Schizosaccharomyces pombe: one gene and its partners. The protein of the gene in region 2 purifies or fractionates together with the protein of the main gene of each other region. This does not show direct contact. Each region holds a gene or a part of one and is shown on either strand. Other genes may lie near its edges. The genes, in order: hcn1, mad3, apc14 and apc13.

What was found.
Region 1: the proteins of mad3 (region 2) and hcn1 purify together in Schizosaccharomyces pombe (affinity purification with mass spectrometry, with the first as the bait; one study listed by BioGRID). This does not show direct contact.
Region 3: the proteins of mad3 (region 2) and apc14 purify together in Schizosaccharomyces pombe (affinity purification with mass spectrometry, with the first as the bait; one study listed by BioGRID). This does not show direct contact.
Region 4: the proteins of mad3 (region 2) and apc13 purify together in Schizosaccharomyces pombe (affinity purification with mass spectrometry, with the first as the bait; one study listed by BioGRID). This does not show direct contact.

Annotation. Positions count from the first base shown.
Region 1 is NC_003424.3:2,152,822-2,155,537, reverse strand, and holds hcn1 (anaphase-promoting complex TPR lobe accessory factor subunit Hcn1/Apc12), read right to left. Parts: upstream 912-2,716; 5' UTR 744-911; coding exon 501-743; downstream 1-500. Other genes in the region: serine/threonine protein kinase Cka1, read right to left, coding at 2,014-2,070, 2,164-2,465, 2,527-2,716. UniProt on the Schizosaccharomyces pombe protein: Component of the anaphase promoting complex/cyclosome (APC/C), a cell cycle-regulated E3 ubiquitin-protein ligase complex that controls progression through mitosis and the G1 phase of the cell cycle.
Region 2 is NC_003421.2:995,875-999,339, reverse strand, and holds mad3 (mitotic spindle checkpoint protein Mad3), read right to left. Parts: upstream 1,925-3,465; 5' UTR 1,653-1,924; coding exon 720-1,652; 3' UTR 501-719; downstream 1-500. Other genes in the region: SUA5/yciO/yrdC family protein Sua5, read left to right, coding at 1-398; vcx1 (CaCA proton/calcium exchanger), read right to left, coding at 2,524-3,397, 3,454-3,465. UniProt on the Schizosaccharomyces pombe protein: Component of the spindle assembly checkpoint which is a feedback control that prevents cells with incompletely assembled spindles from leaving mitosis.
Region 3 is NC_003424.3:4,517,310-4,520,452, forward strand, and holds apc14 (anaphase-promoting complex subunit Apc14), read right to left. Parts: upstream 1,199-3,143; 5' UTR 988-1,198; coding exon 664-987; 3' UTR 524-663; downstream 1-523. Other genes in the region: omt2 (4-alpha-hydroxytetrahydrobiopterin dehydratase), read left to right, coding at 233-523; etf1 (electron transfer flavoprotein alpha subunit), read left to right, coding at 1,737-2,762. UniProt on the Schizosaccharomyces pombe protein: Component of the anaphase promoting complex/cyclosome (APC/C), a cell cycle-regulated E3 ubiquitin-protein ligase complex that controls progression through mitosis and the G1 phase of the cell cycle.
Region 4 is NC_003423.3:1,834,388-1,837,044, forward strand, and holds apc13 (anaphase-promoting complex TPR lobe accessory factor Apc13), read right to left. Parts: upstream 969-2,657; 5' UTR 909-968; coding exon 501-908; downstream 1-500. Other genes in the region: SPOM_SPBC9B6.11C (CCR4/nocturin family endoribonuclease), read right to left, coding at 1-62, 192-417; SPOM_SPBC28E12.02 (BICC1 family RNA-binding protein), read left to right, coding at 1,940-2,657. UniProt on the Schizosaccharomyces pombe protein: Component of the anaphase promoting complex/cyclosome (APC/C), a cell cycle-regulated E3 ubiquitin-protein ligase complex that controls progression through mitosis and the G1 phase of the cell cycle.

The DNA of each region.
Region 1 (2,716 bases), on a different chromosome or scaffold from region 2:
TATAGTGAGCTTTTCGAATTTACTCTTAATTATTAATTCGCAAACTATCTATTTGATCCACACGCCTTCACCTCTTTCCTAAAGCCCACTTTTTTTTTTGTCGACATGCATATACATATATAGATTTGATAAATTTTGCGAATAACCTTTATAAATACTCTTGGTAACAATAGAAATGAAATAGCTTGACAATTTGATATGGGTAAGAATTTAAGTTGAATAATTGATGGAGTGAAGCATTAGGATAAATGTATGCAAGATTAAAGTTAATGAGACTGGTCATTGTTTAACGAAAACTTCACTGTTCTATCAATCGATGTATATCTTACTAATTAAATTAACATAGACAGTGTAGTCCATATTATGATGGCCGATTAAAATAGTTATATGTAAAGATCAGCAGTATGGAGGCAGGTGTGAAATGCTAACAAAACAGTGCAAATCGAAAAAATGTGGGCTAACGATTATTTGATGATTTAATTATGATTTAGTTTCACGGTCTATGATTGAGCGGCTCCACCTTGGGAAGGATGCATTGAAGAATCAAATATTTGAGTAATTCCAATCCTTCTTTCACGAATAATTTTCTTCTTTTCAGGCGATAAACGTGTTGACTCTTCGTTTTTCTGCAATGCTTCTTCTGTTGTTGACTCGGAATCAAGCGTTTGTCTTAGCTTTTCTTCGTCATATGCAAGAACATCTTCAGCAGTAATTTGTATTGCCGTAGGATTTCTTCGTAACATGTTGGAGATACTAACAAACGTAGTACACAAATGTGGTCTGTTATTAAATTTATATTCAGCTTGATTGAATTTTATTTACATTCAAGGATGAAAAAGCAAGAGAGGAAGAAAGAAACTCACCTTAGTTGCAATGCAATGATAAAACACGCTGTTTTAGGTGTTGTTTTGGTAGACGATACACAAGTTAACCCATTTATTTGGATCGTAGCGTAAAGTATTTTCTAAAAGCGAGAGATTGAGCTACCGCGTTATAGTGTTTTATACTTGTTTTACCATAAATACGCATAAAGCGAGAGGTAAACTACTCCTTTTTTAACAAATTTGCCTGGTTAAACAATATACTTTACCAAGTAAGATAAGTAAAGTTGTTTTTTCCGAATTCAAAGATCACAACACATTCTTTTGAATTAGATTTTGGTGCAAATTTTGGCATGCTGACTGAGGTTCAAAAGCAAATACTGTTTCATTTGGAATCAGTGTTGAATAAATGCGAATTCCTGTAAGTTCATCCCTAGTTTATGACATTATCATTTTTTTTAATATGATGAATTCTAATATGTGTTAAATACAGTAAAATGAATTTACAAAAGGCAATTGTTTTGAGCATTGAACTTCAACAAGTTCAGGATGAGCAGCTGCGCAAGATTAACGCTACAGAATAAGAGGTTTTGTAAGGTTGCTCTCTAATTAAGGCTTTACTTTTCATTCATGAAATATCGCATATTCATTTCCATCGCTTCTTTAGATTGCATTCATTATGCATAATACGCAGAGTTACTTACTATTAATAAAGCTGTTAGGTACCTAAAGAGGTAAAAACTCGTTTAAAGTATTAAAGAAAACTATAGAATTGGAACCTGTTTAGTAAGCCCGATAGCATTTAAAAATAAAAAAAACTCTAATTTGAGTAAGGGAAAGCAATAGACACAGACACTATGTAGACCAAGTGTCTAACGAGTAGGTACGGGGAAAAAGTAGTGGGAAGGCTCCGCCACGTGAAAGCAATATTATAGTAGGATGTACTTATGCAAGAACCGTTTCGAGGAATCGTGTGGGAGATGATAACGTTTGGGCAAGAAATATTAGCTTAAATTATCACCGACGTAAATGAAGAGGAATACTCAAGTCTAATAATAAGAAAAGAATAATAAAACATGAACCAGAATTAAAACTAGAATTGGATTTGGTTCATTTTTATGAAAATGAAGGGAACTAGTAATGAAAAGGCTGTCCGTAGAGATAATTGAGTTATAGTCCCTTCCCTCAGTTCTTATTTGAGTACTTGAAAGTACGGATGGGCCATAGCTTCTTGACAAGTTAAACGCTCCTATGCTAAGTTAGTAACTATACAGTATATACCACTTAAAAAAATAAGTGATTGTATAAGATCCTGTAAAAACCTTCAGGTTCGGTAACTTACTTGATGATCATAACGTAATAAACGATTTAACAGATCGATTGCTTCATCATTGGCAAGCGATCTGTTGTCACGGTTGACAAAAGAATACCAGTCCCGCTTGGGATACTGACCAAGAATATTATCGTATTGTCGGTCCAGCACAATCTGGTATTTTTGTACGTAAGCGAAAAGTTCATCAGTTCCCAGAACTTTGGCAATTTTAACTAGCTGATCATAATTGTCCCGCCCACGGAAAAAAGTATCTTTTTTAAATATCAAAGCAGCAAACATGACACCAAACGACCAAATATCCAAGGAGTAATCTAAAGTTTGGTTAGGAAAAAAGAAACGTAAATATATTTAACAAAAGTGGATGCAACTTACCATATTCTCGAAAATCTACTAACAGTTCTGGACCCTTAAAGTATCTACTGGCTACACGAACATTGTATTCCATGCCAGCATGATAAAACTCGGCCAGACCCCAATCAATTAGCCGTAACTTCCTTTTTTTGTGATCGATCATAACATTATGAGGCTTAACGTCACGATGCATTATACCACGAGAATGACA
Region 2 (3,465 bases):
ATTTCATCCCTCAAACTCCTGGTATGAAATACAGACACTACTCTCCAACTGCCAAAGTGCTACTTTTTGTCAATTACACAGAATCTGATGCATACGGTGTTTTTGAAAAGTATTTATCTGAGCAGGGAATCACTAAGGAAAAGCAGAAGATTGGTGTTTTATGTAGTAAACGTTGGAACGAAGAGTCATTCCCTTCTCACTGTCCGTTTGTATTTTTGCATATGGGAAGGGATGGACATGAAATTACAAAGAATTTATTCGCTCAATTGCGAGATTTGGATCTGCAGGGAGTTGATTTTGTTTTGGTTGAAGGTGTCTCCGAGGAAAATGAAGGGCTAGCTATCATGAATCGTTTGGGCAAAGCTGCTTCTGTGGTTTTTGAGGGGCCTTCTCATTAGTTAAAATATTTATAGCTAAGGGGTCTTAGCTTTACTTGTATAGAGGTGTAATTACTTATCGAGCTATCTGTTTATTATTTTGATAAATTGTCTATAAAAGAATTATTTATATCATATTCATTAACTTATGGCTGACTATAATTAATTTGAGAGTAAAATATAAAAAAAAGCTGCAAATCGTAGTATAAATAAGATGCTTTATGTTAAGTTCGTATAACCCTTAAAATTCGCATGTTTCAACCTATTTCTTATTCCGGGAGTCATGATGTACAATAGTTGTTAATCTAATAACGCCAATACTTTAAATCTTTTCTTTATCGGTTATTCTTTCGATACTTCCTCATCACAATGAACTTGAAATTTCCCAAGAGGGTCCAATTTTCTTGGAGATTTCAAAGGCAACTTTTCGCCTACCCAAGAAGTAGCCGATATGTTGTTTTCTTTACGCCTTTGATCAACTGTACCAAGAGTTTGCCAGGTCCCAGGTTGGCCATCCTTTCCAGAACCATCCGCATCTGAATAAACAGAAAATTTAAATTTAGGTTTAGAAATTTTAGTCCTAGACTGGGATATTTCCTGGATATTTGTTGACTCAAATGTCGTTTGTAAAGGATTAACCGAATTTGTATTTGAAGAGAATGATTGTGGGGCAAATTCCAACCAACGGTGAGTAAATTGCTGATACTTTTGCTGAAATCTCAAAAATGGCTTAGCCTTCATTCTTTTTCCTTTCTGATAAACTTCGTCAGCTTTTTGAAACAATCCCCTAGACTCGAAATAATTTGCGTATTCCTCATAAAAAATCGAGGACTCCTGTCCAATATGATGATGTGCCAAGAAAGAAAATAATTCAACCGGTTCGTCTATATAGTTTACATATTGCATCCATATTCGTAAATACCGAACATCATCTTTATAAAGCGGATTTCGTACGAATTCTCGAGTACACCTTTCTAACAATGTTACCAGTCCACTAGTTTTTGTTTCACCTTGAGGGAAATTATCCAAGGTCCATTTAATATAATCGATCCAAACTTGTAGTGGATCATCAAGAGACTCGCTCGTCTCTATTTTTCGTTCATGGCCCATCCTTTCTTTTTGCAGACCAGCAACTTCTTTTTCGGTGTGGTTTCGCGACGAAGATTTTGCAAGTGCAGAAGCTGAATGACCAGCTTTTCTAGGCTCTATGTTTTCCTTGGACTGCTCAATGACATCCATATGCACCCAGTTCTTGCCAGCATCTAATGGTTCCATTTGTAGTCAATGTCTTCCAAAAAATTAGTAAACCTTTTCTAGAGAACCCTATACCTTCCACTAAATGAAAATAAATAAAACAAAGAAGGAGATGTGAGTGTAGTAGTATTGGAAAGTTTATTTAGACAAGTACAATTCTATTGAAAGAACGAAAATAGCCAGTATATAGTTTAATAGAAGGTGTACTGAAAGCTTTTGTATAAAATTAAAAGTGTCAACACTCAAAGAGCAAGAGTAGGAATGTATGAAAGATTGTGCGTAAATTAGAAGGTAAGTGCCAACTTGACGCTGGGGGAGGGTATCATACTTACGCCTGGAAGAGTCCAATGAAAGAGATAAGAAGTTTTTTCTGTTTCTTCGAATATACAGAAACAGAAGAAGAATTAAAATTAACCACTTCACATACTAATGGCTTGTATTATTAAATCATGTAAAACACAACCTACAAAACAACTAATAAAAATAAACAAAATGAAGATTTATAAACAACGATTTACAAGAGTTTATTCAAAAATTAATTTTCTATTTTCATAGCTGGTAAGACACATGAAACTGAGACTGAAGAATGAGCGACTTAAAAAGCTACTGTAAACAAGCAGATATTGGCTTGACCTGCAATAGAAATTTAGAGTTGTGTAGTCATTGCGAAAATGGGAGATTTCTGCATAATTTAACACTTGCATACTAAAAAATAAGTCTGCAAAATATCCTTGTAACAGAAACCAAAAAAAAAAAAAATCTAGTATAAAAAAATAAGAAATCAATAAGTTCGGTATGATAGTTTCGTAAAGTAAAACACAAAGAAATCAAGAGAGTATATCAAGCACATAAGAGTAGACATAATAAGGAACTAGCGAGGGAACGACAAAATTTATTGAGGGTAGTAGAAAAAGGCGAGAACAACAATCGCATACAAAGCAAGTAATTGAACACCTTCAAGCCAATGAGTAGCACCATCTTGTATCAAGTAATTAACCAAGAAAACAGACACAAATAGAATAACTGTTTCCAATGATTCAAAGTAAAGTGTTAAAGGTTGGGAGATGATCCATCCGACGATTACCAAGAAGGGAGCTAAAAACAAAGCAATCTGAATACTGGAACCAATAGCAACACCCAAAGCCAAATCCATTTGTCCTCGGTAAGATACCACGATTGCAGTAACATGTTCGGCAGCATTTCCTACAACAGGAAGGATGACCAAACCAACGAAAGTTTTTGAAATGTTAACTTCCTCAACCAATTGGTCTATCGAACCTACTAAATAGTCTGCGCAAAGAGAAACAAAAACCGTGACGATAGCAAGCATGGCAATGGATGAACGAAGGCCTAAAATTCGAGGTTCAGTTTCTTCTTCCACTTCACTGGGATCATGACAGACATGCTTATGAGTCTTTAATTGGAAAACTAAAAGTAAAACATAGACGATGAGTACAATAACAGCAGTTCCACGAGAGACATGGAGAAGCGCATTTTCGCTATTAGCGTTGTCGGGAAGGCTGTAATGGAAAGTCGCAGGAATCAATATGGTAGCAGTAGATAAAGCAAGCATTGCAATCATAGTTTGTGCAACAGTGATATTAAATGTGGTAATTTCACGACGAATACCAGTAGTTACGAGACACATTCCAAAAACAAGAAGCAAGTTGGATAATATTGATCCGAGAAGGGACGATTGAACGATGCGGAGCTCTCCTCTTTTCAAAGCAAGAACGCCTACAATGAGCTCGATGGCATTTCCAAAACTGTACACAACGTGTTAATAAAATAACAAAAGAAGACGATAAAGTAGGAATCTTACCTAGCATTCAAC
Region 3 (3,143 bases), on a different chromosome or scaffold from region 2:
AATGCTCCTCTGTAGAAGAGGTTCTTTTAGCGTAGTAGCTAAATTTACTCTTTTGATGTTGTGAATAAGACAAGACGATATGATTTCGTTCTCTTTCACATACCAAAGTAAAAGGAGGTAAATTGAGTGTATTAAAACAGTTACGTTCTACACACATCACATTGATATTTTACCTAAATTTTGAAGAAAAACATTTTTTCTGGAATAAACGTTGGTTTAGAAGGTTGAAAAAATGAACACATCAGCTAGATTACTGGCGTTAGTCTCGAAATCAAAAAACAACTGGATTCTTCAACAAGGAGATACAAAACTATTTAAAAGCTTTCGTTTTAAAAACTTCATTGAAGCTTGGGGATTTATGAGCTGTGTCGCATTGCGTGCACAACAGCTAAATCATCATCCCGAATGGACTAATGTATACAATAAAGTGGATATTACGTTGACAACTCACGATACAAAGGGACTTACAGAAAAAGATTTAAAGCTGGCAGAATTTATTGATACACTTGCAAAGGATAACTGAAAGCTGCAACCAAGAGGGTAGTAGCGGAAAACTATCTTGAGACACAGATTGCCAGAAATTATTCTTAATATTTTGAATTAATTTAGTGTTTAGTGATGTGGTGTTTGAAAGGATAAGAATTTATATCATAAACTCATTAATCACCATTCAGCCAACTGGTCAAGTTGTTGAACATGTTTTGTCAGATGCTGCATAATAGCTTGCCTGTATTCTGGAATAGAACTTCTGCTGGAAGCAATTCTGGATATTGCAATTCTACTTGCCCTTTCATTTCTTTCTTGCTCGGCCTCTTCACCACCTATAACATCTCGATAATTCCAAAATTCAATGGCTTTTGAAGCTTCAGGGAGTAGAAGTGGTTTCTTGGCGAGAGGTTTTGGGTTGCCAGACATGGAGAGTCTTTGAAAGACGTTTCCAAAAGTTCGATAACTTTTGGACTGACCAGTACCAGCAAACGGATCCATATGACCTCGAAACGTTTTAATATACAAAAGTAAAAAAAACCCCCGTGAGTACTAAGAGACAATGACTTCAATCATTGATTTGTTCTTCTTTAAAAGAGAACCGTTTAAATATGAAAATTGTAATCTCTTTTGTATTTAAGCAGTAAGTGAAGAGGTTTGGACAAGTGATTAGGAAATTTCACCGATTTTCTTGTTTATTTACTATCTTGTGTGCGTAGTTGAACAAAACTCCTTGCCATCGTTAGAAAGCAATGCTTGTGGTATAAGAATGTGGAGTGTGTTATTAAAATAAAATAGTGAAGTCACCTTTTGTCTCCTAATATCTTAGTGAACTTTAACGTTGATGAACGATTCAATAACTGTAATGCTAAGAAGGATACATTGAGTTTCTCATATTTTTTTTTATTTGAAAAGAATTTTCATTATTATTATTTTTAATGATGCACCTAGTTATTGCAATCGCTATAGACTTTAAACTTTGTATTGAAAGAATTTGTCAAAATATTGGCAGTTGGTTATCAAAAAAAATAAATGTAAGGTATATGAAAATTAGGATGTTTTCATACTCACGAAAAATCATTTCTGGTAGATAAATCACTTAAATATATCACGATTACTTATTTTTAGTTATTTTACCTTTGAAATGTAAGACTGTATTACTTAAGTTTTTTCTTAGTATAATATGTGAACATACATATTGTCAGCGTACATCCTCATTCACCCTCAAACCTACAACGAAGTATTCTAACATGCTAAGGACTACTAGCCGGACATTTTCTAGGGCTTTGTCTTCTTCTAACTTTAAAATAAATTGTGGAAGAAGGCATTGGTTTAGTGTTTTGACGTTGCTTGAGCATCAGGGAGGGAACTTGTCTCCAGCATCCTTGTCAGCAGTAGAAGCAGCAAAGCGTACCGGTGGGGATGTTTTTGGATTTGTAATCGGTAAGGATTCTTCTCAAATTTCTCAAAAGGTAGCAAAATCGGTGAACGATTTGAAAAAGGTTATCTACGTTGAGAATCCGTCATATGAGCATAACATTCCCGATCAAATAGCCAATGTTCTTTTTGAAAATGTTAAGAAAAATGAAATTAGTCATGTTTTTTCTGCTCATTCAACTGTTGGTAAAGGGGTGATGCCTCGTTTGGCTGCTATGTTTGATGTGATGCAGATTAGTGACATTATTGGTGTGGTTTCTGCTGACACATTCGTTCGTCCGACATACGCGGGAAACGTAAACGTTACTGTGTCTACAAAGGATCCTATTAAAATCGTCACCGTTCGTGCATCTGCATTTGACGCCGCTCCTTCAAGTGGTGAAGGAGCAGCCACTGTTGTTGAAGGTATTGATCCAAAACCAGCTGCTCTACAAGAATGGGTTAGTGAGAATATTATAAAGAATGCTAGGCCTGATTTGTCTTCTGCCGAAAGAGTTGTTGCTGGTGGTCGACCTTTGAAAGACAAAGAGACATTTGAACGCATCCTTACACCTTTGGCTGACAAATTGGGTGCAGCAATTGGTGCTACACGTGTTGCCGTGGATTCTGGCTATGCTGATAATTCTTTACAAATAGGTCAAACTGGAAAAATCATCGCCCCAAAGCTTTATATTGCTGTTGGAATTGATGGTGCTATTCAGCATCTTGCCGGAATCAAAGATAGCAAAGTCATTGCTGCTATAAATCGCGATGAAAATGCTCCTATCTTTCAAACAGCAGATGTGGGAATTGTAGGTGACTTATTTGAAATCGTCCCGGAGCTTACTGAAAAACTTTGAAAATCATGTTGAGGAATGATTCCTTATTTTTCATAATATCACATTTATTTCAAATTTCACATCTTTTTAGAAGTTAATAAAATACACGTTTATTTAACTGGGTACTCGTAATAAATTAAGGAAATTTTTGATGTAATATTTAATTATATACCAGTGAAACAACTCTGAAGTCGTTTTATACATACATTTATGAAGCCACCTCAGCAAAGCTATCGTAGGTTGATTATCAAACATTTCAACGTATGAGAAAGAAAGGGATTTTTTTAGCGGTCTAGATATTTAACCAGAGATAAATGATAGAAACATGGAAAACATAGAATACGCATACACTCTCAGCAATACTTCAATGTCATCACAAAGCAAATCTATTAAAAGAAAATA
Region 4 (2,657 bases), on a different chromosome or scaffold from region 2:
CGTATTGAATTCGGGTGGAGCATTGCTTGGTGGAGCAATAGGTTTTCGAGCAGCCTTCTTAGCTAATAATCAGTTAATAAAATTGAGCAACAAAAAATTAAACAAAGGAGTAGAGATTCGGTCTTAAAAAAAGTTTCACAACAACCTTCTTATTGTTGCTCGACTAGATGAACGAAAATTTTTTTTCATACCCATTTTCTCAAGTTTTTTTTGGCGTTGTTTCTCTATGTATTCAGGCGTTACGAACGAAGGAGGGCCTTTAGCTGAGCCTTTTTTCTTAACGGGTATCGAATCTGCCATCTTGTTCTTTTTCTGATCAAAGAATGATATAGCAAGTTTGGATAATCTATAATCAGTGTGGAATCGATCGATAAAAAACTTCAAAGTCAATGTACACGTTTTAGGACAAGTGTACATACAATGACTTTTGAGTAGACTTTATTTAAGTTTTCACAGCCGAAATGGATTAACGACTGTTGGTTCGTACAACCTCAGGTATATCATCTAAAATACCGCATACTAGCGTGCTCTCCTTGATGCCTTCTGTTCGCTTCAAGAAAAGGAGCCATTGGAGCTTCTTTGACTGATTTGAAAGGATCTGTTTCAAAATTATCTTCAATTGTATTTTTACCCTCGGCATTTGAAGAGCCTTGAATGAATGCAAAGGCATTAACTAAATCTTCGAGTTCCAAATCTTTCCAAGCCGGTTCATGCCTAAGCTGTTTGTTTTTCATTAAGATTAGATTTGCACTAGAATGTTGAATAGTCATCTCATCTTCTGTAACAGGTGGTAAGTGTTCTACTCGCACTTCGACATCGTCAACTGGAAGTCTATCTTTTAGCCAATCCGAGGCAAACAAAACTACTCCCGGTTTATTCATATGAACATAATTGTAATTCGAATCCATTAATTGTTTTACTGATTCCAAGTAGGAGACTTATGGTGCTTTTATACGGTTGGTGTTATTGGAGAAGTCGGTGGTAAGTGTGTAAACAAAGCATTTAGCAGCAAAGTCTACTAGTTGGGGGGAGGGAGATCTTTCCATGAAAATCAATTATAAGAATTCTAGATTAATTTCTTATTCACATAATTCTATGAACTTTTAAGTAGAAATAAAAATCAGTTAGGTGGTTTGCTACTATTCTTCTCAAAACCTTCGTCTCTTAATCTATTTATTCCTATTGGCATGTTATTTTTCTTGATAAATAAGGTAAATATATGTGCTTGCTTAGCTTACAAATTTCAAAGAATGACACTAATAGTGCAATGTTTTACTTAAGCTATGATTGTGTCCAAAACCCTAGCAATACTGACAGAGTTATAATGAAAAATTAAGCGTATATTTCACAATCATATAATCATATTCCCCCTTTTCTGAAAAAATGTCAATGGCAAATCATATACTGTTTTGAGTTAAAGAGGCTTTGGCAGATCATAAATCAGCCATCCTAATTAGTAAAAAGAATACAAAATTGTGATGGTTATGTTAAAAGTATTCCTAGTCATTAGTGCATCACCTTAGAGTCATGTGCTGTATATATATATGTGTCTACCTTTGCATAAACAAACTTGTATTCCACAGTCAAACTAGTACAATACACATCGTTCTGCGAAAACGTTCTGTTTATTTTTCAGCAAAAAATTAAAGTTTAAGCTATCATTCATTGCCAATCGCATATCAATTCCAAGATTTATTCATTGTTTATTTACATTTGGAAGCTAAACAATAACTTTCACGGAAGCAACAACACAACCAACAACCAACCCTTCAGAAGTAACTTTCGGAATAATTTTGTATTCAAACCTATATCGTTTATCATTCCTTTGGATTTCTTTTAATCTTTCTTTCGAACACGAAAAACTTACTCTTCACTAAGCTTCGAAATTTCCAATCAAACGATTTAACAATAAGAAAATTTTGTGCTTAAAATCACCAAAATGGATTCTCATGTTTTAGCATTTCCAATTCCTGATCCATCTACACCTCCTCCCGAAGAGGCATCCCTTTATGCTAGTAAATGTGACTATTATGAAAGCGATATTTACTCTCAAATTAGGAGATTAACCGAAGAAAAGTGCATTGAGACAGAAAAAGAGTTGCCAGTTAATATAAAACTACATGTCAAACATAAAGGAATGAGCATATCATCTTCCCGCAATGAACTAGTGGTTACTGTTTCAGGAAATTATAAAAATGTGTACACTGCAAAAATAAAGATTTTGCAAGCCATTCCCAAAATTCTAATCAGCAAACTTGTGCTCGAAGAACCCCTCGAAAACCTCCTTTTTGATGAAGATGGGTACGTTTATGAAGACACTATGAAACATTTGGACAAAATAACGGAAATAACGGGAGCAAAAATTTATATCATGCATCGTTCCATGTGTCATGATATCGATTTTCAGCTACGTACTGACAGCGGATTCAGCAATCGATTAAATGAACAACAAAGCTTCTACCAAAGGCATTTAGAGTCTACTAGGCATGAATTTTCATGTCAAAAGAACGCAGAGAATTCTTTTTTTATTGTCTTTTATGGTGACTATTGCAGCGTTGAACATGCTAGAATTCGCGTATTAGCATTAATGGATGAAATCAGAGGATTATCGGTAGTAGCTATTGCAACTTCTGTATCTTTTCAGCCAATTCTCGTTG